4 linked regions of the Diceros bicornis minor genome follow. The protein of the gene in region 1 interacts with the protein of each later gene in a pairwise test. Links are inferred from orthologs where the notes say so. Each region holds a gene or a part of one and is shown on either strand. Other genes may lie near its edges. The genes, in order: RBPMS, GSE1, VENTX and C7H11orf87.

Region 1 (7,812 bases):
TAGGAGTTTTTCAAAAACAAAACATAAATCCCAAACAGGGAATTAGGACAAAATTACCTGGATCGGTCAGGCCAACGTACTTTCTTTTCCTGAATTTTTAACACTATAAATCCTCTCTCTTCACGGTTTATCTGTTTTGTACACTCCACCTCTTCTACAACTTACATTCTGAAATCTGTCCTCTTATTTTTAAAATAACAAGTGTCTTGCTAAAACTACTGATACTTCCTAGAGCCACACGCCATTCCCACCTGAAAAGGAACACTGTCAGGGCAACAGGGCAGGGAAGAGGCAGTGAACTGTCCTGAGATGGCCAGTGATTCTACTCGTACACAACCTCCCACATTAAGTTAAGGTCCCAGGAACAGAGCAGACAACACCTCCGACCTGGCAGCAGTCAGGCTGAGCTGAGTCAAGCAGAAAAAGATGACTTTTCTCCACTTACTTTTATCAAGTTAACTAAGTTATGGTTTTGGGACACTCAAACCTCTTTTACTACCTATCAAAAGAAAAAAAAAAGTCTTTGGTTTGCCTAATTAACTTTTCCATTTACAAGCTTTCTCAGTTGGGAGAACTGAGAAAAAAGATGATTTCATGCAATATATTCTTACCCTTAGAAAGAAAAATTGCCATTCTAAGTGAAATAGAAAGGTTTCTGAAGCAATTATTATCTTGGTGTGTTAAATAAATTTGTTAAATATAGCAACTCCTTAAAAAAGCAAACTTGTCATCATTTTTTAAGTTTTATTTCAGTGGTAGGGAAAATAAATAGCAAAGCAACCAGTAAGGTTCAAGAAAAAAGTGGAACTTGCAATTCAAGTGTCCATCTCTTTGAAAAACAAAAAAATGTCAGTGGTATTCCTTCACTTGTAGTTAAAAAACCATTCGCATGTAAACAACACTTTTCAAAATAATAGTTTATAATAAAATGGGCAATTTCTTCAGGTGAAAAGGCAATTTTCTGTTTACTGCAATTCACCTAGGTTGCACTACCACAAAACTGTGTTAAGAGGAAAATCTTGTTATTTATTTTGCATTGTTTTGCATAGTCTTTGCTCTCTCCTCTATCTTCCCCATTTACATAGTTCCCATTTTACAAGTGGACAACATGCTGAGAGCTTATATGCATTAATTAAATCCTCTGCAAGGTTTGCTTTCGCTATCTGAATATTAGTTTGCACACAATATCTCAATAATAATCTCAACATCCTAACAGCTTCAGAATCAGTTTATCATTCTGTTAACCTTATACACGAGGATGCAGTACCTGTAAGAATGCTTTATAGGTCACATCTGGATGCATACTTTCTTGCATCCACACACTCTCAAGTTTCTTTTAGAATGTTTAAGAACTCAGCTAGTGTGGAATCTTAAAAAGTGGGCGAAAAGTATTGTTTCTTGGACTCCATATAACGTACCTGCAGGAACAGAGCCATTTAATAGGATACCACAAAATATCCTAACTACAAAATCCTGAAACGTTTGTTCAGGAGTTCTCCCCTACATTTACTGAATTTTGTTTTTCTACCAAAGGAACAATCCACAGCCGCAACATTTTTACCGCAATTACGGACGCACCACATTAAATTTACGCTCAGAAGTCAAAGTCCTATTAAATAGTCTCGATGATCATTTGTAAGGGGTAACTGTAAGTTTTAAACTTTTATTCTGCTCCCCACAACCGCATCGCCCCTAAATTTACAAAACCTAAATTACCCAGGTTCGGGGTCTTTGACTCATCAGAGAAGAATGCGGCTGATTAGTTATCTATTAATCCAAAATGCCTCAACTGGAAAGACATTTCACCAAGAACTTTTAACACCGAAAGGGAGGGGGCAGGGAAGAAAAGGTGTCTCTTAACGAGAACTTTCCCCTAGTTTCTTCCTTAAACTACACAAACACCAACGCACCCCACGACTTCCAGCCCTAGACGCAGAACTAAGTCCTGACCCTCCGGGTCCCAATAATCTGAGGTCACCCAGGAGTCAGCTCTCGATTCCGCTTTTAAAATTCCAGGCAAACAAAGCTGAGCGTTCTACTTACAAAACTCTCCGAAAAGTCTTCCAAGTTACGCAATTTTAGGCACGCAGACGCGCGTGGACCCACAAAAACACCCTCCCCGGAGATACACCCTCCGGGGCCACAGTTTAGGGCTCTGTCTCGGGGCAAGGACCTGCCCAGACCCTCGGCTGCGGCGCCCCCTCCCCGGCGCGCAGCCGGGCGCCCCGGGACCGGCTCTCCCGCCGGCCCCCGCACTCTGGAGAAAGCCCGCGGCTTCCGTCCCCGGTCGTCCCCGCCACCGCACCGAGCCACTCAGTACCTCTTCCTCCTGAAGGTTGGCCTCGTTCGGGGTGTTCTCCTTCTCGGCTTTGCCGCCGTTGTTCATCTTCCCGGTCCTTCCTCGCCGGGCAGGGCTGGGGCGCGGGGCTGGGCGAGGCGCGCTCGCCCACTTTTCCCTCCCCGGGCGCCGGGGCTCCCTCGGCGGGCGCCGCGGGCTACGGGGGCTGCAGCCGGGGCAGCGGCGGCTCGGGCTCGGGCTCCCGCGGCGCGGCGAGACGGCGGCGGCGGCGGCGGGCGACTCAGGAAGTGCGAGGGAGAGAGACGGGGCAGGGCGAGGCGGGCGCGGGCGGACCGAGAAGGGGACGGAGACAATCGGGACCCGGGAGGGAGACCTGGAGAGGGAGGGCGGGCGCGAGGGAAGGAAGGAAGCAGGAAAGGATGGGGCGAGGACGCGCGTCCCGGGACTGAGCCCGGAGAGTTGGGGATGTGGCCGAGTAGGGGCCGGGGGCGGCTGCTGCCCGAGCGTAGCTGGAGGGAGGGGGCGAGGGGTGCCGGGAGAGGAGGAGGAGGCGGAGGAGGAGGAGGAGGTGCGGGGCAGCGGGGCGCGGGCCGCGGCTGGGACGCTGGGACCCGGAGAGCCGCTGAGTGCGCGCTCCTGGCAGGCTCTGGGAAGTACGGGATCCAAGCAGCTCCCTTTCTCTCGCCTTCCTCCCTCCCCTCTCTCCTCCCTCTCCTCCTCCTCCTCCCTCCGCCCTCCCTGGACGTGGGCTGCAGGCTCTCGCCGAGGGACGGGACGCGGGACGGCGAAGCCCCCCGCGGGAGGAGGGGCCGCGCCGAGGGCGGCTGCCCCGCGGCCGGATGGCGCGCGCCGGGGAGGGGCGGCGGGCCGCGGGCGGAAGCCGCCGACCCTGGCCCCGGACTCGGCGGTAGGTCGGAGGGCGGGGGCCGGGCAGGGGGAGGGAAGGAGGTCAGGTCCTCCGGCTCGCTGGGCCCCTGGGGGCCGAGTTGGACAACTCGCGTGGCGGTGCGCGCGAGCCGGGAGAGGGGCTTCGGAGAGCCGGGCCCCGCCAGCGCGACCACCGGGACGTGTGATGTGCTACTTTTGTTTGCCTGCTTTTCACGAGGGATTTGCACCCCCATCCCTAAGCCTACCTCTCCTTTTCTGTACCGCTTTAGACCCATTTCTTCCCTTCCTAGTGGGCAACTTGAAATGACAGGATGGCGAGAACTCGGTGACGTCCGGGGGCAGCCAGCTCCGGGCCGGCGTTTTCAGGGCACAGCATCAAACCCACCTCGAACGCCGGGTCCTCCGAAACCTCTCCAGCCTCCCCACCGGCCGGCTGTGGCTCTCCGCTAGGCTTCCCGTGGCGCCCGTTCAGACTCCTCTCACAGCCCGTATCAAACTGTTCTGGAGTTATTTGTTGACCTGGCTGTCTTCCTCACTTTTCTGGGAGATCCTTCCTGGAAGACAAGACCGTGCCCTGTTTATCTTTTTAATCCCACGGCTTTTTAAATACGCTACCTGGTATATAGTAGGCACTCAATAAATATCTGTTGGGTAAGGGAATATTCGTCACTGCAAGCCGAACTGGAGGCCAATACAGGTGATCTTCAGAGGGTCAAAGCATCTTAGAGGAGAAGGGGGTCTCAGCTGACCTCTGGGAGGTCAGCGCACAACACTCGTTTATGCACCAACCTCGGAAGGAGTGCATGGTTTCCGTTTCCTCACCTGTGGAATGGGAGTAGTTCTATTTATCTCCAGGGGTTTGCTATTAGAGGAGATTATAGGTTGATAGCGCTATAGCACCTAGCACCCATTCTTGCCCAGTTTAAGGTTACAATACTTGGAGGCTAACATTTTTATTAAGGAAATTTTCCTGAGCCGTAGAGAGCTTTTCCAGGACTGTATCATTTAAGCTTTCCAATATGACTGGTACAAACATAAATTTGAAACTCTGTACATCAGTAGGTTCTTCCTCACTTCCCACTCGTAGGAATTCTGTCACAGCATGCTGTTCCTTTCCCGCACAGCACCAGTCACAATTTCTATTTATTTATTTGCTTGCTTCACTATTTGTCTCTTCCCCCCCTCCCCCCACTAGACATTCTTTACCCTATACTGGTTTAAGTGCTGCTGGAAATGGGGTGGGGGTGGAGGTGGGCATTGAAGATAAGGCCCCTGCTTTTAGGGAGTTTAAAGTGGTGTGGAGACAGGATACCCAAAACAGCTCCAGGGCAACATAATCGCAGATCCTGGCTCAAATTGTGGAAAGCAAAGAAAATATTTGCTTTAAGAGCATTGTGAAGAGAAAATCAGTTAGTGATATGTAGATTTACATGTTGAGTTTTTCAGGGGGGGGGTCTGAAGATTTTGATAAAGAGCTTTAATTGCTGTCATGATGTCATTTCTTTCTATGGGAAAAAAAAAAAAAGATGTATCCTGGATGAAAATAAACCAAGAGTCTATTGAAATTGCGATTGAAGTTCAGAAGAGGTGAGGGCTACAATTAATCCGGAAACTTGGACAACCCTTTCCACTGCCAGGTCCTCCCTCAGTTATATGAGGAACCACGAGGGGGCAATGTCTTCTTGAGCAGTGGCTGAGTGGTGGTCTTGGGCCCCTACACTGACCAGTAATGCCAGCACTTTGCCCTCCTTGGCCATTCTTGCCTGTTCCTGAAGACACTCCACAGAAAGGCATTGTCTTGCTGGAGCCTGGCCAAGGCCCAAGAAAAGTGACAATTGATCTAGTCATTGATGGTTCCAGTCAGACTCCACTCATGAGTAGGTGGGAGATGTTGTGTGATTCCAGGGTAGCGAGAGAACCTCCCCTACCCCCACCCAGGGAAATGTGGCTTAATCCCAAAGGTAGGACCTGATTCCTTTGTCTTTAAGCCAAGCTGGCACTGTGTCCTTGTTAAAAGTCAAAAACCCCTGGGATAAAAAATGAGAATAAATTCCATGAGAGGATCCTTGTCTAGTTTGTTCATTGTGTTCCCAACATCTAGACAGTGCCTAATGCACAGTTGGCACTCGATAATTGTGAGTGAATGAATCCACTGAGTCTTATCAGTTATTTATTCTTGGGCTTGAATGACATTATCAGATCCTTCCAAGACCCTGCAGGAGGGACTGAATTAGTAGAGGCATCTTAGTGTGGAGAGCCACCACAGGGGCACTAGGCAGATTCATGGTAGTGGTCTTTAGTCATTATTTTGCAGGGGGGAGACCCTAGATAGAGAGCTTGCACAGAATGGGGCTACATCAGGTAGCTGATGATAAAGCAGGGAAACCTAGAACATATAGTCAGTGGCAAGCTTGAAATTCAGGGTGTTTTCAGAAAAGTGTATGGGGCTGGGGTAATACACCAGGAAAAGAAGGACTCCTATTTTGTCCTTTCCATGAAGAATGGTTTAGACTTATTTGGAAGAACAATAAAGTCATGTTGCCAACAAAACTCAATGAAAATCTGTACATAGACTTTAGCTATTTATAAAACTTTGTGAGTGAGGGGAAAGAGTTTGACTGTGTTGGGGGTGGGGGGAGTGTACATTCATTCAGGTTGTAATGATCTTTATGACCTGTTTACTACTTCAGAGAAAGAAAGTTTCAAAAGTGAGATCTCAGTAGCAATCGTTTTCAGGCCTACTAAGAGTTATAAAACAACAAAGGGATTTTATGTCCTAGAAAAATAGGGCTAATGACCAAGAAATCTGCTTCCTCCCCTGCCCACCATTTTGCCACATTGCTTCTGGCTTATCAGGTTACATGCTAGGTTGAAAGGGAAATATTGTCTGCACGTGTAGTTTTCCTTATTCATCTCTGTTCCTCTGGCAGTGTTCATTTTGAGGCTTGCTTTGAGAAATACAAACCTACAATTATGTCTTAAATGTTTGTCTCTGGGAAGTGCAGGCATTAAAGGTCTATTCTGAGGCAATTTGCATGGCTTGTGCTCTGTACCTATGTTAGCACTGAGGCAGAAAGCTGCAGTATCTACCACGTGTTGTGATTGTTAACTCTTCTACATCCTCTGCTGGACCGAAAAAGTTCTTGAGGCCAGAGGCTGTGTTTTATTAGTCTTTGTTATCCTTAGCACTTCTCACTCCCTCACCCCACTCCCACCCACCTCCAGGCCATCACCATCTTCTCCTGATTTTATTTATTAATTTTTAACTGTGGCTAAAAAACACACAACATAGTATTTACCGTCTTAACCACTTTTAAGTGTGCAGTGCAGTAGTGTGAAGTATATTCACATTGTTATGCAACGTCCTCCTGATTTTTACCTCCTAAATAGTTCTGAGATTCAATCACTTCCCTCCAATCATTTGTGGAAGCCCACACAGCCACATGGAGAGGCCCATGTGGAAGAGAATTAAGTCCCCGGCTTACGGCCCCAGCTGAGCTCTCAGTGGACAGCCGGTACCAATTGCCAGCCTTGTGAATGAGTTTTCTTGGAAGTGGATACCCGAGCTCTAGTTGAGCTGCCCTAGCTGACACCACATGGAAGAGAGATGAGCTGTCTTCACTGAGTGGCGCCCAAATGGCAAAATTGTTAGCATAAAAGTGAATGCTGTTGTTTTAAGGCACTCAGTTTTAGGGTGGTGTGTTATACAGCCATAGATAACTGAAACATAATTACGTGCCAAGAAGTGTGGTCCTGCTGTCACAGAAACCTAAAACATATGGCAGTGGCTTTGGGATCAGGTAGAGGATGGAAACTGGAGGAACTTTGAGGAGTCTGTGAATGAAGAGCATTATGAAAGGACAGTGCGAGTGTTGTTATTGCAGGCTGGAGAAAACGGGACCCCATTTATGTATTGGAAGAACAATGAGCTAAACTAGCCTGCTGTTCCATGAAAGATAGAAAAGATGCCTAATGAACATGCGCATCTGGCTAAGGAGATTTTTGGATACAATGTTGAAAGAGTTGAGTGGTTTCTTTTAGATGCTTATGGTATAGTACGAGACAAGTGAGATGAGCTAAAAAAAAAAAAAAATGAACTGTTCTGTTTTCAATCAGAATTTAGAGGAAACATAAAGAAGCCAGGACTTGCTGGATTTGAAATAAAACTATTGCTCATTTCTAGCTTCTCCAGAGGAAAAACTCTCAAATTAAGAAATGGCTTAGGGGCAAGGGTCAAATCCAGGATGCCTTAGGCCTGGATGCCTAAATATGGCCTTAGGTAAAGTTCAAGGCAAGGGTGTAGCTAGAAAACCCTGTGGTAGGCAGCCTCTACGATGGCCTTCATGATTCCTACCTCCTGGTATTCAAGCCTTTGTATAATCCCCTCCCCTTGAATGTAGGATAGACCTAGTGACTTGCTTATAATGAATAGAGCATAGCAAAAGTGATGGATATCACTTCTGAGATTAGATTACAAAGCGACAGGGGCTCCCATTTTAGACACCCTCTCTTGCTCTCTCACTTGCTGCCTTTGGTGGAAGCCAGCTGCTGTGATGTGAGCTGCCCTATGGAGAGGCCCATGTGGCAAGGAAAGGTAGAGGCCTCCATCCAAGAGCAGCAAGGAA
Region 2 (7,485 bases), on another chromosome or scaffold:
GGTGATGTGTTCGTCCATGTAAAAGGAGAGGCCGTCCCACCAAAGCCCCCACAACAGCCTAAAGTCCAAAGAGGACGTGGGCAGAGAAGGAGCCCGGGTAGCGCGTGGAGGTGAGGGCTGGACACGAGGGGAGGCGGGCAAATCGTGGCAGGGTCCACTTTACAGGCACAACCACTGTGAGCGAACACGCAGCCCGGGAATCCCCACACACGTGCACACGCATGTACACACGGGAGGCGGCACCAGGGAGCTTTCAAACGGATGGAACGACCATTCCCGAACAGGCCGGAGACACCCTTCCCCATTCGCCGTCCCTCTGCCGGCCCCTCACCAGCGGCTACCACTCCGGGTATCTGTTAAAACAAGTCGGTCTAACCGGCTTTGGGGGATCACAACGCACGGACGTTTACTTCCCCACACCCACCGGGGGGAAGTTCCTGCTTTGGCCTTGGCAAATCTGGATCCAAAATTAACCGAGCCGGGTCTGGCTCCTCCCTGGCAGGCGGCCTGCAGGCAGGCGCCTTACAAAGAGGGCGAACCCAGGCCCCCCTGCCCTCCTCCGGCACAGCTGACTTGCAGAGAAGAAAGACATTTCCCACCGGGGGAAAAGTCTGTTCGGGCCACTATCCCCCGGGGCCCAAACCCCCACGTCTGGAAATCTGTTTCCATCTGCTGTTAAGCAACCACAGCGTCTCAAAGGAAAAGTGTGAACTTGGGTGGAAAACTCTGGAAAAGCTAAGCCACGCAGGAGCTAGAGTAGAGAGGAACTTCCACCTCAAACCGGGTAAGTGCCGAGACCTCTCCGTGACCTGTGTGGCTGGACTAATTACCAATGTTATCAGGCGGATGACAGACATGCCCCGAACTTCCTCCGTTTGACAGATTCTGCTGCAAACACCCTCAAGTTCAGGCCCATGCCTACTGCTCACAGGACCGCCCTATTCTTCCACAAGACCGCTCCTGGCCCCCCAACTCCTCAGAGCTGGCACATGCCTCCAAGTTCAGCCAGGCCAACATACCCACCAAGTGCCAGACCAGGGGGGGCACCTCCTGCTGGAACGCACGGCTCAGAATCAGTGCAAACTCCTCCCCAGCAGAGGAACAGAAAACAACGTCTCTTCCTTCCCTGTGCAGATTTCAGAGCAGGAGATGAGAACTGCTGCTTACCTTCATAGCCGCTGCCACTGGGGAGCTCCAGCCCATGGGTCCCTGGCGGGTAAGTCCTTGGCCAGCACACACCAGGGTCCCGCACTCCACGCAGGCGCCAATGATCAGCTGCCGCCCGTCGTCCACCAGCAGGCTGTGGCTGGCTCGCAGGGTGTAGAGAAACAAGGGTAGCCGGGCAACCCGCACGGCCTTCAGCCCAAGACATCGCTTCTTCTCCTGCTGGCAGAAGAAGCACACAAACGTCTCCACCTGGTACTGCCGAGACCAGGCGCTGATGGTGTGGTGGGCACCGCGGGCCTCGTGCTGCAGCCACTGGCCCAGCAGGTCGTGGTAGCAGAGCACACAGGTGGACACCAGGCCGGTGGAGTCGGCAGGCCTAGCGCGCGGGGCGGGCGGGTAAACAGTGAGGAAGGGGAAGAAGGGCTCCTTCTCGCCCAAGCGGCTGGAGGGGTTCACGTTGAGCTGGAACTCCCTCCCGGGGCCCAGCTCAGCCCCGCAGATGTAGCAGACGGACGCCGGGCCGCCCTGGACCGACGCGGGTGGCTCGGAGACGGCAGGGTCCCAGGCGGAGAAGGCCTGGTGGTACCGGCCCAGGAAGCCTTGCACCGAGGTAATGAGCTCCTCGTTCTGGCAGGCCCGGTACAGGGCCCAGACATCCTCCAGGACGCTGAAGCACTTGGGGCAGCTGCGCACCTCGCAGCGCTTGTTGGGGCCCCGGGCGTTGGGGGGGCAGGGCAGGAGGCTGAGGAAGGGGAAATGCATGGAGCCCCTGGCGTTGCCGTTGAGGATCCTGGAGGCCACTGCCCGGGCATCCTGGGTACAGTCCTCCCCGCAGAGGTAGCAGGCCTCTGGCAGGGCCCCAGCCGGCAGGCCCTCTTCCCTCGGGAGCCTCCTGCCCTTGGAGGCCATGCCGGGGGCGTGGCTGTTCAGGGGCACCACGTACAGTCGCTGCAGGACAGGCACGCGGGCCAGCTCGAAGCTCTGCCACTGCTGCATGAGGGAGGAGAAGCAGCATGAGCACACCAGGGTGCTGCCACCCTCGCTGATGGGCTGCGCCCCGGGGGGCGGGCTGTGCAGCCACAGGAAGGGGAAGAAGGGGGCCTGGGCCAGCCTCTCCTGCTTCTGCACGTGGATCTGGTGCTGCGAGGCTGGGGACAGCGTCGACCCGCAGATGTAGCAGCAAAGGCCCTCTGGTGGTGCAGGCCGGCCCTCCAGGGGAGCCCGGGGGACGCGGCCACCACCGTTCTCCGTCTCTTTGGGGCCGCAGGAGCCCGGGAGAGGCTGCTCCCTGCCGTCCTCTTCCTCGCTCGTGACGTTGATGTCACTGTCATCAGACACGCAGCAGCCTCCTCGGGGCTCCCCCAGGGGCCTGCCCTCGGGAGTCTTGGCGGCCCTGCCCGACGGGGCTCCTTTCATGCTATCTGCAGGGGCCACCCGGACTGGAGGGTCTTGCCAAGGGTCCTGGATGCCCCTCAGGACGCTGGCTCGGGCCTCAGGGACCCAGTGCCTCCCAGCGCCCTTCCGCCGGCGCCGAATGCCGGTCTTGGGCTCCCCGTCCACGTGTAGCTTCGAGGGGACCCCCTCCTCCTCCGCGTCCCCCTGCGCGGGGGTCTCCGCGCCCTGTCCCGGAGGGGGTACCGGCGCCGGCCTCCACTCCTGGCAGCGGCCCCCGAGAGGCCCCGGCCCCGGGGTGGCCCGCGCCGCCGGCGCCCCGCCCTGGTGGGGACTGGCGGCGTCACGCGCGGTCGGGTCGGGCTCCGAGAGGGGGTCGGTGTCCGATAGCTCGGACAGCTCGGAGTCTCGAGTCTCCTCGGCGGCCGCGCGGGGCCCGGGGACGCCGCCACCGTCGTCGTCGTCGCCGGCCGCGCCGCCCAGCGCGTAGGCGACGTTCCACTCGCGGGGGGCCCCTGCGCCCCCGCGGCGCCCGCCCGCGCCCGCGTCGCACTGGTGGGGCCGCTTGAGCCAGTACATGCGCTTGTCCACGGGCGTGCGGGCGCGCTCGAAGGCCGCCCACTGCTCGCCCAGGAAGCAGCGGCACACGGCGCACACCAGCACGCAGCCGTCGGCCGGGGACAGCTCGCGCGCGCCGGGCGCCGGCTCCTGCTGCTGCAGGAACGGGAAGAAGGGCTGCGCCGGGGCCCCTGCGCCCGCCGCCGCCGCCGCCGGCTGCTTCACCTGCAGCTTCAGCTCCTTGCCGCGCCCGATGCCGCCGCCGCAGATGAAGCAGGAGAGCGGCGCGCCGCCGCCGCCCGCCGCCCGCTCGCCCACGGCTGCCATGAGCCGCTGCTTGCGGGAGACCAGCGCCGGCCGCCCGCTCATGGCCGCGCCGCGCCGCCCGCGCGCCCCGGGCCGCCCTCACCGCCCGCCCGCGCCGCCGCCGCCGCCGCCGCGCCCAACTTGGAGCATGTGTGCGCGCCGCAAAGTTTGGCGGCGGCCGGCCGGCGCGGGCGCGGGCGCACGGTCGCTAGCAGGGGCGCCCCCCCGGCCTGCCGAGCCCCCGGCGGCGCCGCGGCGAGCGCGCCCGGAACGCAGCGGCGGCGGCGGGCCCCGGGCGGCTGGAGCGGCGGCCGCATGTGCGAGCTCCGGCGCCTGCCAAAGCGTTGGGTCATTTAATTGGGGAGGAGGGAGGCGGGGCGCGGGCGGCGCGCGGGAGGAGGGGGAGGAGACGGGGCGGGAGGCGGGAGCACGCGGGCGGGGGAATCCCTCCCTCGCGCGCCCTGCTCGCCGCCCGCCCTCCTCCTCCTCCCCCCCTCCTCCTCCCCCCCTCCTCCTCCCCCCTCCTCCTTCCCCCCTCCTCCTCCCCCCCTCCTCCTCCCCCCTCCCCCCGCGTCCCAAACTGCGCACAATGGCTCGCCGGCTCTTCTATCTATTTTGTGTCCAGCCGGGAGCCGCGCTCGATGATTCATTGCCCCAATTAGGGCCTCTCTCCAGCGCGGCCGGCTCGAGCCGTCTGAAGGGTCTCCTCGGGGACCCGCGGAACCCATCAGCGGCTAGAGCTGCTCTTTAAGTAAAGGGCAAGCAGGACGCGGGAGGAGCCAGGTAAGGACGTGGCCGGCGCCCCCCGGAGACAGAGGAGCCGGCGAGGAGCTCTCCGAGGGGCGGCCTCGGTCCAGGAGTAGGCAGGCACCCTGTCGATTTCGGTCGAGTTGCTCCGGCCCCCTCCCCCTTCTAAAGGGGGGACCGAATGAGGAGCAGTTGCAGCCCTGAGCTGCCTTGGGTTGGGGGCACTTTTCAGGGTCCAGTGGTCTGATTTTGGAGACAGAGGGAAGAGGAGCTGTCCCCCGTCTCCTGGAACACATTGGTGAATGCACCATCCGGGGGGGCAGAGGCCTCAGCCTCCACACCCCTCCTGGCTGCTGGCAGAGACGGAAGGGATCCTGTGTGTGCCAGGCTCTGTGTTCCAGGGCAAGTGACTCGACGACTCTGGGCCCTTTCCTCCTCTTGTTAAACAGGAGTTCTGGCAGGAGATTAACAGTTTCCACATATTTATTGTTTATGTGTATACATACGCTGTATTTATTGAACACAGAGAGAGACCTTAGCATGTGCCAGGTGCTATTCTAAGCACTTTATATATACTCGGGGTTAAGCGCTGTGATCAGCCCATTTCACAGATGAGGAAGAGGAGGTGCTGAGGGTTGTTACTTTTCGAGAGTGGAGGAGCTAGGATTCAGACCCAGGCAGCCAGCTCTAGGCGCCTGCTCTCAACCCCCTGGCTGTGCAGCCTCACTACGCAAACATCTGGCCCCCGTCACTCCATCTGCCCATGGAGACTCTCCAGGGCAGGGGACATGGCCAGGATCCCTCCGTCCTTCCTGCTGCTCTGGCTCAGGCTGGGAGGCCTTGGGGGAATCCAGGCATCTCTGGGCCTCACATTTCCCATCTGTGAAATGCCACCCCTCCCAGCTTCAAACTTCTATGAGTCTGTGATTTCTGAGCAGTTGACAGCTGTCCCGACTTGCCAGCTGGAGCCCAGAGTCAGCCTGGGGACAAAGGTGCCAGGTGGGCCCCTCTACCCTCTGGGGCATTGATGTATAAATAAAACTAGGCTTCCTCTGGCCCGGAGGAGGGCCGTCATTATAAATAAACGGAACAAGAGAAAGGGGCCACCTCTCTGGAACCCCTGGTGGAATTCCAGGGGTCACAGTCCAGGGGTTAACAGCAAAGTCATCACCATCATCACCAGAAACTCGGGGACTGCGGGCCCTCACCCAGGCCCAGAAAAAAGCTGTGTCAGCAAAACTATCTGGAAGGAATGTTGGGGGCAGGGCGAGGGGGTTTCCCTGCTTCTGGCATTTTTAATACCTGGTGAGAGAGGGGCTGATTAGGGAGCCTTTACAGGGTGAGGTCTGGGTAACTGTGTCCAGCAGAGCTATCAAGCCCACACAGACCACGAGGCGGCTGCTAACGTGAAGCCGGCTCAGGAAATGCAGGGCGGCCTTGGGGTTGCGTGGGGCTCCCTTGAGGCTTGGCACATGCCGTTCCTTCTGCTTCACGTGCCTTTCCAGGCTCTCTTTGTGAAGCCAACTCTGGCTCATCTTTATGGTCTTGGCTACAATGTCTTCCCCCAGAGGATTCCCTGCCTTCTCCATCTCAAGCAGGTTCTCCTTGTTATTCTCTGTCTCTGTTCATTGGCATAGGAATTTGTCATTGCTTTTATTTATTTTTCTGTCGACTGTTCCCTGTCTGCCTCCCCAGGAGCCTGGGTGCTCCCTCCCCCTGGGCAGGACCCAGGTCTATCTTGCTCACTGTGTGTATCCAGGGCCTGGCTTAGTCCCTGGGTCCCACACTGCTGGGTCCCAGTGCTGTGCCGTCCCTCTCTAGCTGTGGGCGCCTTGGGCAAACCTCTTAGTTCCCTGAGCTTCAGGTTCCTGCTCTGTACAATGGGGTCATGGTCCTCATCGGATTTGTTTGTGTGCATCAAATGAGGCAGAGAGAGGGCGATGCTCTGGGCACAGGGCCTGGCACGCTGGAGGTGACAGTGTGTGTGTGTGTGTGTGTGTGTGTGTGTGTGTGTGTAGACCCTGCCTGGCTCTGTCCAGTGGCTGAGGAGGTTCTGCTATGCCTGTCTGCACTGCGAGTGGAGGCGGGCACTGTGATGAGGTCCCACCAGAGTCTAAAGGAGGAGAGCCACAGCGGTCGACAGGACAAAAGGGGGGAGTGGAGTTCTCTTGCTTAAGCTGGGGTCATCCTTGAGGATTCCCTGAGTATGTGCCACGTGTGTGGAGGTGTGTGTGTGCATGTGTGGGTGTGTGTAGATATTCGTGTTTGTGTGTGCATGTGTGTATGCATCTGTTACCGTGTACGTGTGTGTGCGTGTGCCGGTTGTGTACCTGTGTGCATGCATTCATGTGCACATGTGTACATGTGTTCACGTGTGTGCATATAAAGTGGGCTGGGACCCGGGGGAGAGAGGCTTCCAGCTGGATGTTTTGTTTCCCTCAATGACCCGGTGACTCAGGAAAGTCCCCTGGCACACTTCTCGGGAGCCAGGAAGCAGGTGAGCACCGACCAGAGGAGGAGGAAGACAGGGGAAGATGGTTGGTTATCTGTGGGTGGATGACATAGGAATGGGGCCGCTGGTGCAGATTCACATCACAGTTCTGCCAGTTACTAGCTGTGTGGCCTTGGCCTGCTATTTAACCTCTCTGAGCCTCAGTTTCCCATCTGTAAAACAGGACTCACAAAACCCCATAGAGCTGGGGAGGATGAACTGAGACGACCCAGGTGAAGCACACCCTCTGGACACAGAAATGACAGCAGTGTTTGTGCACGTCGGCTGAATGTTAGTTGCACACAGGAACCTGTGCCTTATAGACTCAAACTTGCTGAATCTTTGCAACAAGCCTGTGAGGTAGGTTCTGTTATATCCCCAGTTGACAGATGAGGAGACAGAGGCACAGAGAAGGGAAGTAAAGGCCCAAGGTCGTGCAGCTTGGTAAAGCAGGGGCTGGAGCCAGGCGGTGTGTCTCTGTCACTCCCTGGCTTTGTTAGCTGTTAAGATTAGCTTTGCCCTAAGTCCTGAGATGCCAGCTTGTTAGGGCAGGAATGGCTACAGTCTCGTCCTCCCTCTCCTCACATGTGTCCCCAATTTCACACCTATGGAATCTGAGACCCTGACAGGTTCATGTCTGGACATAAAACAGGCCAAGAATGTGCCACAAGATGAGAAGAGATGTCAAGGCTCATTTGTGTTAACTTCATGTTGGAGCCACAGGCTCCCGACCCCAGAAGAGCCATCTCCTAGCTTCCCTCTGAGCCCCACGGCCCTCCCTGCAGCTAGAGAGAGGGCGCCAGGCTCCCCCCAGACCACGTGAA
Region 3 (7,250 bases), on another chromosome or scaffold:
CTGTTTCTTTCCCCTCAGGACACCCAGGGGGCCCTTCATGCCTCCCTATCTTCTGAGCCCTTGGTTCTGCTCTGTTCCTTCAAGGGCCCTCTGGACTCTAAGAAACGTCAGATCCCTGAGCGAGGGAGCAGTAGGTCTTCATCCTGACCGTTTCATGGGGACAGGATTAACCTGGCCTGTATTTCCTGGCTGTGTCTTCTGCCAGATGTTTTCCATGTTTGTCAGGGTCCCGGAGGCCTGCCTTTGTACAGACTGGAAGGTCCTGTGCCCCATGCCCTGTCACCGGCCTTGCTTCTCAGGGCACCTCTATGCCAGCCTCCTGTTCCTGGCAACTCTGCTTCCCCAGGGCCAGCGACCTGAGCCTTTAGGGCGCTGTGTTGATTCTCGCTCACTCTGTCTGCTCCCTGACCCTGGTGTGACGCATGCTGGACACACTTGCAGATCTGGGGGTGAGCCTGTCCTGCTTTGCCGTCATCACAGATCTCTTTAGTCCCCATGGCTGCTGCCATCCACAATGCCTGTCATCTTTGTCACCAGAATCTCCCAGAAGGGGGTCCCTTCCTGAAGACCCCAGGGGTCATTGTCCTCATCATATTTATAAGGAAGTACCACTGCTGCTTCTGTTTTCTCTGACTTGTCTTGGTTCTTTGCTGTTTCTAATAGCAGCAGCACATCCTGTATGTCTGGAGCAGCACTGTGCAGTAGAACTCTCTGGAAGGATGGGAATGTTCTAGAACTGTACTGTCCAATACTACAGCCACCAGCCACATGTGGTCACTGAGCTCTTGAAACATGGCCGGTGCGAATGAGGAACTGAATTTTTTTTTTTTAATAATTTTATTTATTTATTTATTTTTTCCCCCAAAGCCCCAGTAGATAGTTGTATGTCATAGCTGCACGTCCTTCTAGTTGCTGTATGTGGGACGCGGCCTCAGCGTGGCCGGAGAAGCGGTGCATCAGTGCACGCCCGGGATCCGAACCCGGGCCGCCAGCAGCAGAGCGCGCGCACTTAACCACTAAGCCATGGGGCCGGCCCTCGGAACTGAATTTTTTAATCTAAATTAATTTAAACCTCCACGCGTGCCTGGAGTTCTACATCCAGCCCTTACATAAATTCTACTTTATTTCAGTGTTAGGTGCCGTTGGTTTCAGGTTCCTATCTTCAGAATCTTGCCTTTACATTTGCATTTAATTCCATTGCTGAGTCCCCTTCCTTTCCCCCGTCTAAAGCCTGGAGCCTGAGGCCCTCCAGCAGAAGTTTCCTCTGCAGTGACCAGGGGGACTTACTGGCAACTTAAGAAGCGCAGCAGAAGGGCACCCCATGTAACTCTCAGCCCGTCCACACGAGCCCTTCAGAGCCCTGCCTGCACCCTGTCTCTTTGGGGTGCAGCTACAAGGCCACAGGGCCTGGCCGCCAGGTGGTGGCTTTGATCTGTCTGCTCTGCGTGGACTGCGCAGGGGCAGGGCTGCACTCCAGAGCAACCCAGAGCCTCCAGCCAGAGGCCTCTGCTGCGGAGGACAGAGGAGCCAGGCACCCGCCGCGGGAGAAGCAGGTCAGCGGGGTCGAGCTGGCGGGAGGTCACCCTGGAGCTAGGACAGCCTCTCAGGATACCGGTTCCCAGGTGCCAGCCATGCCACTGAGCAGAGCGACGGAGATGAGGGCAGGGAGCGCAGACAGGGTGTGAGTGCAGAGGCCACACTGGACCCGCGCCTGCCGAGCCCACTGTCTCTGTGTGTGGGACACAGAGCAGTGGCTACGAGGACCAGACGTGAGGGTGGTCAGGGTTCCAGGGTGGGCCACGGCTCCCTGACATGCTGCCAAATGACCACAGGTGTGGTCCGTGTGTCCGGGAGGGGCATGTGGGCCCTGATGTGTCAGCAGTGGGGGTGATTCAGGCCTGACGTCACTGTCAGCCACCATCGTACGGGACCACCTGGGTCTTCATCCCTCTGTCCCACCCTTTTTTAAAATCACGGATTCCACTGTTCTGTCTTTAACCAGGTGTTTTGCAGACCGCTGGCTGGTCCCTAACGCCCTTGTGTGTCCATCATCCACGCTCTTCTTCCTTTCGCGGGGGGCGTGTTCTCGGGGAACGCCCACGCAGGTGAGGAGCCAGCGCTGGCCGAGCGGACGCCCACAGCCTGTGCCCACTCCCTCCCTCCGGGACCTTCTGCCCTGGATCTTCACCCGCTTGGATCCTGGATCCCGCTTCCCACCGTTTTGCAGAGCCCCGAGCTGGGGGGCTTTTCAGGTTTGTCCTCCAGAGCCCCGCCTTCCCTGTGGGGTGGGTGGGCGCTGGGGCTTTGGGGTGGGTCATCGCCCACCTGCCCCTGTCTGTCCACCCTGCCTGCCCTGCTGCAACCTCTGGGGGCCAGAAGGACGAGAGGCGGGCAGGGGGCGTGGCTACGGGGAGGGGACAGGGTCGGGCTGGGGGAAGGACGTGGAGGGGAGGGGCGGGGCCGGAGTGGGGGAGGGGCGTGGAGGGGAGGGGGGAGGGAGGCGAGGCGGCCCCTGGCCGTGGTTTCGGTTCCCCGATCGCGTCGGAGGCCCCGGAGGCTCCAGGGCTCGAGCGAGGGGGGACCAGACCAGCCTCCACCTCCCAGTGGGGCGGGCGTGGAGAGGGGGTCTTGGGGTGGCCGTGGAGATGGCCGGGACGAGGCGAGGCCGCGGCGGGAGGGGGAGCGAGGTGGGGAGCCTGGCTCCGGACTACGTGGGGGCGGGGCAGCCAGAACGCCCGAGGAGTGGGGGCACCCACTCACCGCCACCCCCACCACGCCCGTGCCGCCCGGGTACAGGTGGGAGGCGGCCCCCCCGGCGCGCAGGTGCCGCGACGTAGAGCCAGCGGCCGAGCGCCAAGGCCACGCCCGCGTGTAATCCCCGGGTCTCGGGGAAGGCGGTGGAGGGACGGTGGAGGGGCAGCGAACCCGGGGGCGCGGGTCCCAGAGCCAGGGGAGGAGCAGGCCCGGGGAGCCCTAGACGCTGCTCCGAGGCCAAGTGAGGAAGCTGAGGCTAGGCACGGGTGACATTGGCCCGAGCAGCCGGCGGAGACAGAGGGGCCCACAGTGCAGGAGGGAGGGGTGGGGAGACCCCAGTGGACACGGCCGGCCGGGTGAGGGGAGAGGGGCCTGAGCCCGTGGCAGTGCTGAAGGGAATGACCGAGGGGCCGCTGGGAGGAGGGGATCACACCAGGCAGCAGCCAGAGCTGGAGGGGAGGACACAGGAGGGAGAGGCTACTTGACCTGCTGAGGTGGGGTCACCTTGGACTCTGGAGTGGGACTCAGGTAGGGGAGGGTGTAGGCAAGGAAGCTGGGAAAGTGGAGGCCGGAGGACGTTAGAGGAGGGTCCCTGATTACGGAGCAGATGGCTGGGCAGAGCTGAGGAGGGTGCTGAGGAACGTGCGGGTGTGGAGCCAAGAGGCCAGGGGACCCGGCGGGAAAAATCAGAGGTGAAGAGACGCTAAAGCAGACTTTCCAAAGACCAGAACCTGAATGGCTGACATTTCACGAATTAACGCTGCTGAGTGCACAATGCAGTAATTTCCAACAAATGCTCCTTTGTCCGGAGGAGGCCTCTCCGGCCTGTTCTGTGCGTACTGAGCAGCCATGGGGGGGCTACTTCCCTCTGCCCGGTTTGTGAGGTACCCTCCCACCCCCGTTTGTCCCGGAGGAGCTCTGCGCAGGCCTGCACCAGCTCGGCCTCTGTCCCCAGCTAGCTGGACGGCCCCTGTCGCAGTGGTGCTAGCAGCCTGCCCCAGGGCGTCCTTGGAGGAAGCCCTGGAGCCACGCGCACCCGAGGGGACCTCACTGTCCACCTCCAGGACACCCTGCAGTTCTCGTACAAGACACCTCACCGGACACTAGGCCAGTGATTCAGATCCCAGCCTCCCCCTGCGGGGTCCGGTGATCTAACTGGGCTGGTGCAGGGGCGGGAGGAAGGCCCAGGTCAGCGGCGTTGTGGCCCTTCACACGCACGGGCGGTCAGCGCCGCCTGGTTCCCCGCTGTGCCCGCGGGGGTCCGGCTCCCACATCATCACCGGCCCCTCCCCTGCCCGAGAGGCTCAGGAGGCGGGGTCTGGGTGCTAATCCTGGGCGAGGCCGCCAGGCCTTTGATCTCCGCCGGGCCGCGTGGGCGCGGGCGGTCGTCCTTGCCCCTCCCAGCCTGGCGCCGGCGTCCCCGGGGGTCGAGGCTGCTGACTCGATCCGTTTGCACTGAAGCCCAGCCGCGCGCTCGGGTCCGGACTAGCGCTGCACCCGACTCCAGCCGCCGGGGCCGTAGCCTGGACTCCCCCCAGCCCGCGCCCCAAGGGGCGCCCAGGGCCCGCCGGGGTGGGTTTCCGCAGCACGTGTCCGTCTGCCGGGTCGCGTGCAGGAGACTGACGCTCTCCCGCGAAGGTTGTGGGGAGGCCCGGGGGAGGCACCGCCGGCCGTGGCTTGGGGCGGACGGCGTGGCGCACCTGGCTGCCTGCGCCTCCCGACGGACGCGGACGAGGCCAGTTCAGGGGTGAAGTTCAGGAGTGAAGCGGCCGCGGGGACAGGGTGACCGTCTCGAGGACACCCTCCTTAAGTTTTGGGCTCCACCGTCCCCCGGGGGCTCTGCAGTTGCCCAGCCCCAATGGGGGCAGCTGGGGCGTGGGAAGAGTGATGTCGCGTGGCTGCAGCTGAGTTCACGCCCTGAGCGAGCACACCCCCCTTCGTGTCACCCCAATCTGGAGGTAGCTCCTGGGGCACCGAGTGAAACCCAGCAGAGGGGCTGGGCGGGGGCGGTGGATGGTGAGAGAGAAGGGCCTGCAGAGCGGAGGGTCCTTCTCTGCACAGCCCCTCCCCGCCCTGTCTGGCTTGTGCAGTCTCCTTCCAGGAATGCCTGCCCTACATTCCTACCCAGCTGGACAGCCTGGACGCAGCAGACACCCGCCCTGGCCGGGCCCACTGTGTCCTGCGAGCAGCGATGCTGACGCCCCACTTGTAGCGAACTCTCCCTCACCGCGGGCACTGCAGACACACGAGGCAGGTTGGAGGACCAACCTGGAGCGAGAAGATGACCTGGCACCCCATAGGACAAGCCCCCAGGGAGGGTGCTGGGGTGGGAGGGGCCGTCCTCACCTTCCTGCAGCCTGGGCCAGCCGGGTGGGGGTGGGGGAGATGAAAGGATGTAACGAGTTCCCAACCTCCCCCAATCTCCCCTAACGCTGACCGAAGCCCCGCCCCTCCCCAGACATCTTGGAGCCGGGGGAGGTGCGAATGGCCTCCTTTGTGCCTCTGAATTGAAGGCAATTAGGTGCTACTTATCTGGGGGGGGATTTGAGCCATCTATGCAGACCTGCCTCCCAACCCTCCTTCTCCTGAGCTTATAAATGTAGCCCGGCCCTGCCAAACTGAGGCGACCCTGTGCTCAGCCCAGGCCACCTGACCAACTCTCTGCTGACGCTGCGCCCAGCCCCCACCGTCCGCCCTGCAGAGGACCCTGTACCTGGGCCCACCACCATCTATCCCCAGGATCCTGAGCAGAGCACCACGTCCAGCCATGCCTCCCTTCCCCGCCCTGCCTTGTGGCCGCAAGCCAGCCTCCAGCTTTGGCTCTGTGGCCTGGCTATCTCAGAGCAGCCATGCAGAGCAGTCGCACACCTCCAGGCCCGCTGAGGTCTCTTGGGAGAGCTTCTCTGCCCCAGCCAGGGTGTCCGGCAATGGGGAGCCCCCTCAGACCGTGGGCATGGGGGAGGTGAAGTCCTCAGAATTGTCTGCGCCAGGGACGCCCACAGCTGGTAGGTCTGGAGATGGGGGGAGGTCCCTTCCTCCCCAGATGAGGATGGGAGTTGGGGAGGGTTCAGGAGGTTGGGGGCATTCTCACTAGGGCTGGGGTTTGGGGTTTCCTGACCTCTCTGGCAAGTGAACGCTTCCCCTTGGAAGCAAAAGCCACAATGGGGGGTTTCCCTCCTCAAGCCCCTTGGGGCTCCTCTTTCCCACCCACCTCCTACAGGGGCCAGCCCCCTGCCCTCTTGCCCAGGCCTGGGCCCACCAGTCGCCACCCCCCACGTCCTCACTGTGAGCCATAACGCTGACGTTAGTGCCTTTGTGCACGTGGATTTCAGATTCTGTAAAAGTCTTCGGGACCCATTTCCACCATGAGTCACAGGGTTGTGGATAAGTGTGTCATAAAGCTTATGAAACCTGCCCAGTCCAGAGGGCTCCTTGTGGCCCCACCCGAAAAGCCGGGCCCCTTAGTTTGGCACCTAGACTTGAGTTGGAATCCTGCCGCGTTAGTTCACGGGGAGCCACGACCTAGTGACGCCGCCCTTTGCATTTCCGCATGTGTGAATTTTGGTGCCTTCTGCGTGCTCGGCTCCCGGGAGGTCTGGTGGCTCCTCAGCTCTGTCTGACCTTTTGTTCACTGCCGAGAATCCTCAGTTTTGTCTCTGTGACGTAATCATCACTTTTAGGTTTAAAGTCCAACGTGGTCAAAAATGGGGTTCTTGTTATACATAAGTTTTCATTTTTAAAAAAGTTTAAGTAATCCTTACAGAATAATTTTATACTTCGATGAGGTGAAATTTTAAATTTATTCTTTACAACCAGTACTGCCCCCAAAAGGCTAGCCAATCATCCTGCATCAAAATCCTTGATGCTGACTGGTTACGCCCTCCAACCCCCACCCCTCCAAGCAAGCCTTTGCTCCTCTCGTCCACTGGACGCTTCTAGTTAAGTGTTTAAAACTAATTTTGTAAAATTTGGTTTCCCCGAAGCAGCTGATTGGCCTTTTTGTCAGATGAGTTGCATAGTGACCGAGTAGACGATCTTCACCATCCTGTCTTCCTTCACCCCCTCGGGGGGAGTGTTGGGGGGTTGCTTACTGCCATTCCTCATCTCCTAGTTTATTTTTTTTTTAAAGATTTTATTTATTTATTTTTTCCCTCCAAAGCCCCAGTAGATTGTTGTATGTCATAGCTGCACATTCTTCCAGCTGCTGTACGTGGGACGCCACCTCAGCATGGCCGGAGAAGCGGTGCGTCCGTGCGCGCCCGGGATCCGAACCCAGGCCGCCAGCAGCAGAGCGCGCGCACCTAACCGCTAAGCCACGGGGTCGGCCCCCTCATCTCCTAGTTTAGAAAGTAGGGGGGCCGGCCCGGTGGTGCAGTGGTTAAGTGCCTGTGCTCTGCTGTGGTGGCCCGGGGTTCGCAGGTTCGGATCCCGGGCGCGCACCGCTGCACTGCTTGTCAAGCCAAGCTGTGGCGGCATCCCATATAAAGCAGAGGAAG
Region 4 (7,002 bases), on another chromosome or scaffold:
GTGGGTTTGTCATATATGGCCTTTATTGTGTTGAGGTACTTTCCTTCTATACTATAGGGAGAATGTAGTACAGCCTGGCACATAGTAGGTATTTTGCAAATAATAATAATAATAGCACTTATTATTTTATTTATTTATTTATACTTATTTATACATTTATTATTATTTTTGTTGTTATTATTTTTTTATTATTGTTATTGATTCAGTGCCCCTTTGGTTTGATGTACCAGGTGCCCATGTGGCACTTCTCTCTAAGATAGATGGAGATCTCTCATTAAACTGGAGAGCAAGTATTATATGTTGCTGAATATTTGGAAAGTGCCTGAGTCCAGAGGGGCTTTCCCATCACCAGGGAAGTATCTGGGAATCTCAGAAGCTTTTTGGTCCTCCACTCTTGGGAGTGTGGCTTAAGAAGTTTAGTGGCAAAAACAGTGGCCACCTCTTGTCTGGAAGAAGCCTTGCCATTGTGCCAGATGTGCCAAAATCATATAGCAACTCAGTGGGATCAATTTCTGCAGCCCAAGAGGCAGGTATATGTATTTAGCATATATGTATTTAGCACATTCATTCTCTGAGTAAGAACAAATTATGAACCTATAGCCTATTCTTCTTTAAAGGGAAAGGGAAAAAAAGCTGGGCTTTTGACCTGAGAATTGATGTCTTTAATCTACCTAAATCATTTCCAGTTAAATACTGTTGTCTTCTGGATCACATTTATCTGCTGAAGATTGTTAAGTTCTCCAGGGCAAGACATTGTCTTTTCAGAGGTTGTGTAAAATGGTGCAGACACTTTTAGCACTCCTGGTATAACGGATGGTTATCATTTATAACAACAGAGTAAGAACAATGACAGCCTCATCACATGTCCTAGAAGCTTGGTGTGCAAGAGGAATCCCATTATATTCATATTGTAAGCCCATTACAACATATTATAAAGGTATTTATGTTCCTCACTGGGAAAACCTGATAACTCATTCCTCCAAGTCTAGAAAACTGATAGACCAGTGAGAGTTAATTCTAATTACGTAAAGATTCTTTGCTTTACAAGACAGTTTTTCTAAAGAGTCTCTTTAAATAGCCAGATCCCTTTTTGGAGTATTCAAAATTAGATTTGCTTTCCAAAATGTTGATTAGACTCAACTTTTCAGGAGGAAAGAAATGGTGCAAAAATGGGACATTACATGTCAGGTGTCAATGGTGAAGTGTCACTTAGTGATTACAGAGAAAACAAGGCTCGCCATCCCATCGCCTGAGCCCATCAAAGTCAGGATGTCCAAATGTGGCAGGTGGCTTTTACAGGGCATCAGGTGCCCTCATTCCAGGCAGGAAAGCTAAGCCAGCATTGAGGTCATTGGCCATCACTAATTGTGTGACTCTGGGGCCAAGGGCATCAATCCATGCTCTGAAGTAATCACGCATTATTCAGCGTGTACTGAACTATTCGCTTAAATATGGATACTTTTTTTTTGAGGCAATTATGAAGAAAAAGCTGATGACTTTTATTCAAATAAATGAAAACAGAATTTGGGGGAGAAATGATGTATTTCTTTCTCCATATATAAGTCATGGGCAAGGAGAGGAAAAGGAGAAGTTGGAGAGGACTAGATAGGAACTGAGGGTCAGAAGAAGGGACTCTCAGATTACAGACAAACAACTTTTTGCTCTCCATGTCAAACCCTCTTTCTTTACAAAACCCTCTGCTTGCAAATACAAGCAGATAGGTGGGTATCAGACATTCCTGCTACCTGATGCAGCAGGGAAAAGCAGCAACGTATGCTGTATCACTCAATTTAACAAGTAAATATTGTACAGGCACTGTGTTAGACTCAAAGATTGGATGAAAACATGACAAGGAGGAGAAAAGGAAATGCACATTTAATTAGACACCTGAGTGCCTTCAAAGACCATACAGTGTTTTTAGGTGCTGTTTCAAACTGGCTTCTCCAGTAGAAAAATGAGAATACTTCATTTTGAAGCTGGCTACTGTAACCAAATGCACCATTCATATTTTCCCAAGGGTTCTAAACTAATAGTTGATTAGTCTCTGCCCAGATTTAGGCAGGCTGATGAGAATCTTTTAGGAAGTTCTATCCATTATGCTGAAAGGCTATGGTTAATACTACAGCAAAGGCACCAAGCGCTTTAACAAGCATTAGGGCCAATGAAGGGGTACTTTGTAAGAGCACAATGCTCAGAATTTTCACAGGGCAGTTCATTTCTGTGCTGCTCTGAGTGATTTTCATCTTTATCCCTTGTAAGCCTTGTGTGTGCTTTGTGTGTTCATGAGCGTCTAGGTAGTCAGAATAGAAGTGTTAATTCCTTGAGCGGGTTCATGAGCGTGTGAGGGGAGAGAGGAGGATCACGAGTCAGGTGGAGTGAAAGGTAAGTTGGAGACTCTGGTGGAGGGGGAAACAGTTAATTTGGATTGTTTGATGTTAAATACATGTTCAGATTTGTATTTCAGGTTCTTCCACTCTTGCATTCAGAAATGCCCCTCTCATCTCTCTTAAGTACGCAGTTTCTGTTCAGAACCAGGTCAGCATAGACAAGACTGGGGAGGGGATGATCCTCATCAGCAGAAGGAGAAAATTCTAGTGTGTGCCCTGAGGGCAGATGGATCTCTAGAGTGTAAAAACGTGTTCCTGGGACCATGTGGGAAAGGGTTGAAGGTGAGGAATTGGGCAGCCAAAGAACTAAAGCTTCAGCCCTCCTTCCTAAGCATAGGAGGGCAGAAGGTGGGTTGCTCACAGGGTGGGGGTGAGGATTGCTCTTCATAGCCCCTGGGCAGGGAACTGGGAACGTAGCAGAGGCTCGCTCTGCCAGGACGAAGTGTTGGGGTATGAGGGTGAGGTGGGGGCCTGAGGGGTGGCTTGGAGCCCTGGCGGTGGCTGTCTGACGTCACCGGCCTCTCTGGCAATAGGCTGCGAGCTGAGCTCCCCAAAGCGGCAGCGGCGGCGGCGGCGGCGGCAGCAGCAGCACGGCTTGGTCTCTGGCCCCTTCACTCCGCGCCTTCTGCAGCCGCCACTGCAGCCGCGCGGCGGGGGCTCCCTCCCTGCAGCCAGCTGGCGGCCCCAGGTAAGGGACGCCGTTCGGCTAAAGGCTCTGGGCGGCTGGGTGGCCGGGCGCGAGTGGGTAGGACAGCCTCGGCGGCCTGCGCAGGCACCCCTGGCCGTAGCTTCGGCCCCCGCCCCTGCCCCGGCCCGGGCTTGCGCGCCGCCTCGCTGCTCCGCAGTGCAACAGTTTGCAGCTGCCTCTCGAGAGCGGCGAGGGGGCTCTGCTGCGCCCTGCGTGTCTACCTGCACTGGTCCCCGGGAAGAGCCTAAGGGCCCTCGGGCTGGGTCTGGGCAGGCCGGAGAGAAGATCCGTTCCCCAAACTTTGCAGGCAGGAACCCTCCCCCTTCCATTTCCAGCTCCCGTAGAAAGAAGCAGGATACTGTCAAGTGGGAAGCACAGCGAGATGGAGAAAAGGGGGCATTTGCGGGGATGTGCTTTAGCTGAGAAAGGTGCTTCAGTTGCTTTTTTTGGTGGAGGGGCGGTACAAGAGAAGGCTGGAGAAAGGATGGAGCGCGATCCTGCGCGTCAGCCGGGGCCGCGGGCAGAGGTGGAGTGGGATATGGTGCCAGCGGTACCCTCACGGAAATGGGACCTAAGAGGTCTGACGCCGTCCGGGAAGGGAGAGTCGGGAGGGAAAGGGAAGAGAAGCGAGGACTGCGAGCCCGCTCGGGGGCAGGGTGTGGGTGCTGGGTAGGGTGGGATCCAGGCGAAGGCGTCCATTGAGAGGGCGCAGGAAAGAGAGTCGGTGCTCTGGGAAGCAGAGACCGCGTTCTGAGGCGGCTACGTGGTTGTTGCAATTAGAAAGTTGTGGAGGGCGCAGGGAGGCTGCTCTATCTGCTGAGTAATCCGCATTTCTGCGGTGCCGGCGCAGACCCCTTCCCTGCGAGTGGCGGGAGCCCGAAGCTGGTGCGCGGCCAGGGGCGGGCGGGCTGGGGTCCGCGGGCTGCGAAGACCGGCAGCGCCCAGCTGAGGCGGTGTGCCCAGAGGGCCGCTTTGCAGTGCCGGCTGATCCTTCTGGTCCTCCGCACGCCCCTGGGCAGCGGCCGAGATCCTAATTAAGCCTGTTCTCTTTGCAGCCTGGTGCCTTGGCAAAGGAAAAGGGCGCGCCGACACGCGTTCGAGGCGGGGCCGGAGAGGATCTCCTGGGCACCGCTCGCTCCTTGGCCGGCTTGCTTGCCCGCAGTTGCTCCCTCAGTCCTTCGCTCGCGCGCATCCCCTCCCACACCAGAGAGTAGTTTTGGGTGGCGTGGGCTCTGTCCTCTTCTTGGCTGGTGGGAACGGTGTGCCCAAAAGAGGAAGTCTGGTGGGCCCGGCCCCTCCCAGCCCAGCGCCGATGAGTGCCAGGGCGCCCAAGGAGCTGAGGCTGGCCCTGCCGCCGTGTCTCCTCAACCGGACCTTTGCTTCCCTCAACGCCAGCGGCAGCGGCAACGCGAGTGCCCGTAGCCCCGGCGCAGGCGGCGGCGGCGGCACCTGCATCACGCAGGTGGGACAGCAGCTCTTCCAGTCCTTCTCCTCCACGCTGGTGCTGATTGTCCTGGTCACCCTCATCTTCTGCCTCATCGTGCTGTCACTCTCCACCTTCCACATCCACAAGCGTCGGATGAAGAAGCGGAAGATGCAGAGGGCTCAGGAGGAATACGAGCGAGATCACTGCAGCGGCAACCGCGGCGGCAGGGGGCTGCCTCCGGCGGGCAGCCAGGCCCCAACCCACGCAAAAGAAACCCGTCTGGAGAGGCAGCCCCAGGACTCTGCCTTCTGCGCTCCCTCCAACTCCTCCTCCTCCTTCTCTTCATCCCCTGGCCTCCCATGCCAGGGTCCCTGTGCTCCTGCGCCTCCACCACCGGCCCCCAGTCCGCAAGGAGCACACGAAGCCTCCTCCTGTTTGGACACAGCTGGCGAGGGCCTTTTGCAAACGGTGGTACTGTCCTGATTGTCTAGCCCCTCACCCTTCCCCTTCCTCGTTTCCAGCATCTTTGCCGTCCTCGCTTCCCCCCCGCCCCCGTCCTTCCTCTTCCACTTTCCTCTGCCCTCTCTTTCCTCTTCCTTCTTTCCTTAACTACCCTCCCCTTACTCTGTTTCTCCTCCGCCGAGGCACTGTGCGGTATTTGTAAATATTGGGCGAGGAAAGTCTCGGAAGAAGAAATAACGCTGATAACAGTACTTTATTATTAATATTTATAGTAATTATTATTATGCTAATAACACAATCCAAGCGCATGACAAATCACATAATTTCTCATTGTCAATGAAGGATTCGTCTTCCCTCTCCACCCTGCGCCCCCCACAATAAGGAGGAGAAACAGCACAAACTACCAAATATATAAAAGGCATTGACCCCCGGAGCAAAGGGAGTGGAGGGGGCCCAGTGTGTTGTACATAGCTGTCAAGTTAAGGTTCAGTTACCTTCGTTCCCCTCCACCCTCCAAGCTTTCACTTTTCCTTCAGCTTACCTCCCTTCCCCATTCCCAACCTCAGCCAGGCTCAGACAATAGTATATTATAAAGAAAACGTCTACATGAAGCGCCAGAACTACAAGAGGCCACAGAGACAGTCCCAGAAAAACGTTTATGACAGGTACCACCCTCCAGTCAGCCCTCTTCTCACCCCTTGGTTAACCAGTCCCTTTTTCAGGACCAGGCATTTTAATTTACTTTTAGAAATGTCCCTCGCTGGCCGAGCATAAGTATATTAAAAATCTTTAAATGAATTTTTTTTTTTTTAAACAATCTACTGCTTTAACTTCCTGCCCCGCCCCGACCTGTATGCATTTTCAGGATTCAGAAAGGATCGGGGAGCTGTCCAGCCAGATCTGGTGCTGAAATTGCCTCCCGAACTGGTTACTTTCTTTGGTTGTGCAGGCGGAGGAGGGGCTGTTTTGGAAAGTGACTATTCTGGCTTTTTGTTGGTTTCTTTCTTCTTTTCCTACAATCGGGTTTGCGTGTACTATTGGTTTTCTTATTATTAAACATTGCATAAGTTACCCTTTTTTGTAAAAAAAAAAAAAGTATTAGGTGATGTGCAGTACTGAAAGTGCAGTATCTAACCAACCAGAATGTTTCTGTTTAATTTTTAGAACAAGTGCACCTTGTTATATATTTACTATATTGGTACCAAATACAGAAGCAAACTATAGTTCTGTACTACATCCTCCAAACTGTATATTCTTGTTCTTAATTTCCAGCTGTTGATATAATGGTTACCACTGGATGTGGAATTCAGTGGTGCAGGCCTGGCTTCTGCTGTTTCCAGAAGTGTTCTTTTGTACCTTACTCTGTAGTAGACTGTTATAAAAAGATGACACATGTTTTCTTTTTTCTTTTGCGAATAACAGAAACAACCACAATAGAAAACAAACAAATAATGGATGTGCAGGAATGCCATCTATTAAAACATGGTTAATATTTAAACAGTGCCTGTAGTCCTCCCTGCATGCAATTACCACCTGGAGGCAGTGGTGTGTGTGCTTGCTTGTACTGTATGCGTTTGGGATGAGACTGGTGGGGATGTTGGGCAATGTGGATGACAGGACATGCAAATTTCAAGAGAAGTTAAATGCAGTGACTACTTGTAGGACAAAAATGTTTGCAGCTTGTTTAGTTAGAAATCTGAGATGCAGCAAAGGAAAGACTCTCTTTCTCTTTCTGAGTCTGGCTTGCCTAACTTCACTGAATACATGAAGAAAGATTGATAAAAGAGAAAGTTAGAGAAGAAGATCAATAATTTTCTTCTCTCTTCTAATGCCACACAAGGCCATCTATGTTAGAAATGGAGTCCACCTGTGGTTATTTACCACTTTGTTTCCCTTGGATTGATGATAAAGGGGCCAGAGCATATTATAATCTTAATTATATGCAGTGGCATCCTTTCTTAGGAACCAATTCTTTGACAGCTGTTCAAACGTTTGGAAAATGTATGAATAAGAATGTTCTTAACAAAGCTCACCCAAAA

The links.
Region 2: the proteins of RBPMS (region 1) and GSE1 interact in binary tests that used the Homo sapiens proteins (3 or more experiments, as listed by UniProt). The link is inferred for Diceros bicornis minor from reciprocal best matches to the Homo sapiens genes RBPMS and GSE1.
Region 3: the proteins of RBPMS (region 1) and VENTX interact in binary tests that used the Homo sapiens proteins (3 or more experiments, as listed by UniProt). The two-hybrid records come from large-scale screens. The link is inferred for Diceros bicornis minor from reciprocal best matches to the Homo sapiens genes RBPMS and VENTX.
Region 4: the proteins of RBPMS (region 1) and C7H11orf87 interact in binary tests that used the Homo sapiens proteins (3 or more experiments, as listed by UniProt). The two-hybrid records come from large-scale screens. The link is inferred for Diceros bicornis minor from reciprocal best matches to the Homo sapiens genes RBPMS and C11orf87.

What each region holds. Positions count from the first base shown.
Region 1 is NC_080768.1:28,063,252-28,071,063, reverse strand, and holds the start of RBPMS (RNA-binding protein with multiple splicing), read right to left. Parts: upstream 3,004-7,812; 5' UTR 2,387-3,003; coding exon 2,321-2,386; intron 1-2,320.
Region 2 is NC_080771.1:34,077,123-34,084,607, reverse strand, and holds the start of GSE1 (genetic suppressor element 1), read right to left. Parts: upstream 3,009-7,485; 5' UTR 2,584-3,008; coding exon 1,168-2,583; intron 1-1,167.
Region 3 is NC_080745.1:95,295,328-95,302,577, forward strand, and holds the start of VENTX (homeobox protein VENTX), read left to right. Parts: upstream 1-4,247; 5' UTR 4,248-4,712; exon of another isoform or gene 4,713-4,844; 5' UTR 4,845-5,521; coding exon 5,522-5,759; intron 5,760-7,250. UniProt on the Homo sapiens protein: May be involved in ventralization.
Region 4 is NC_080746.1:26,507,310-26,514,311, reverse strand, and holds the start of C7H11orf87 (uncharacterized protein C11orf87 homolog), read left to right. Parts: upstream 1-4,150; 5' UTR 4,151-4,387; coding exon 4,388-4,984; 3' UTR 4,985-7,002.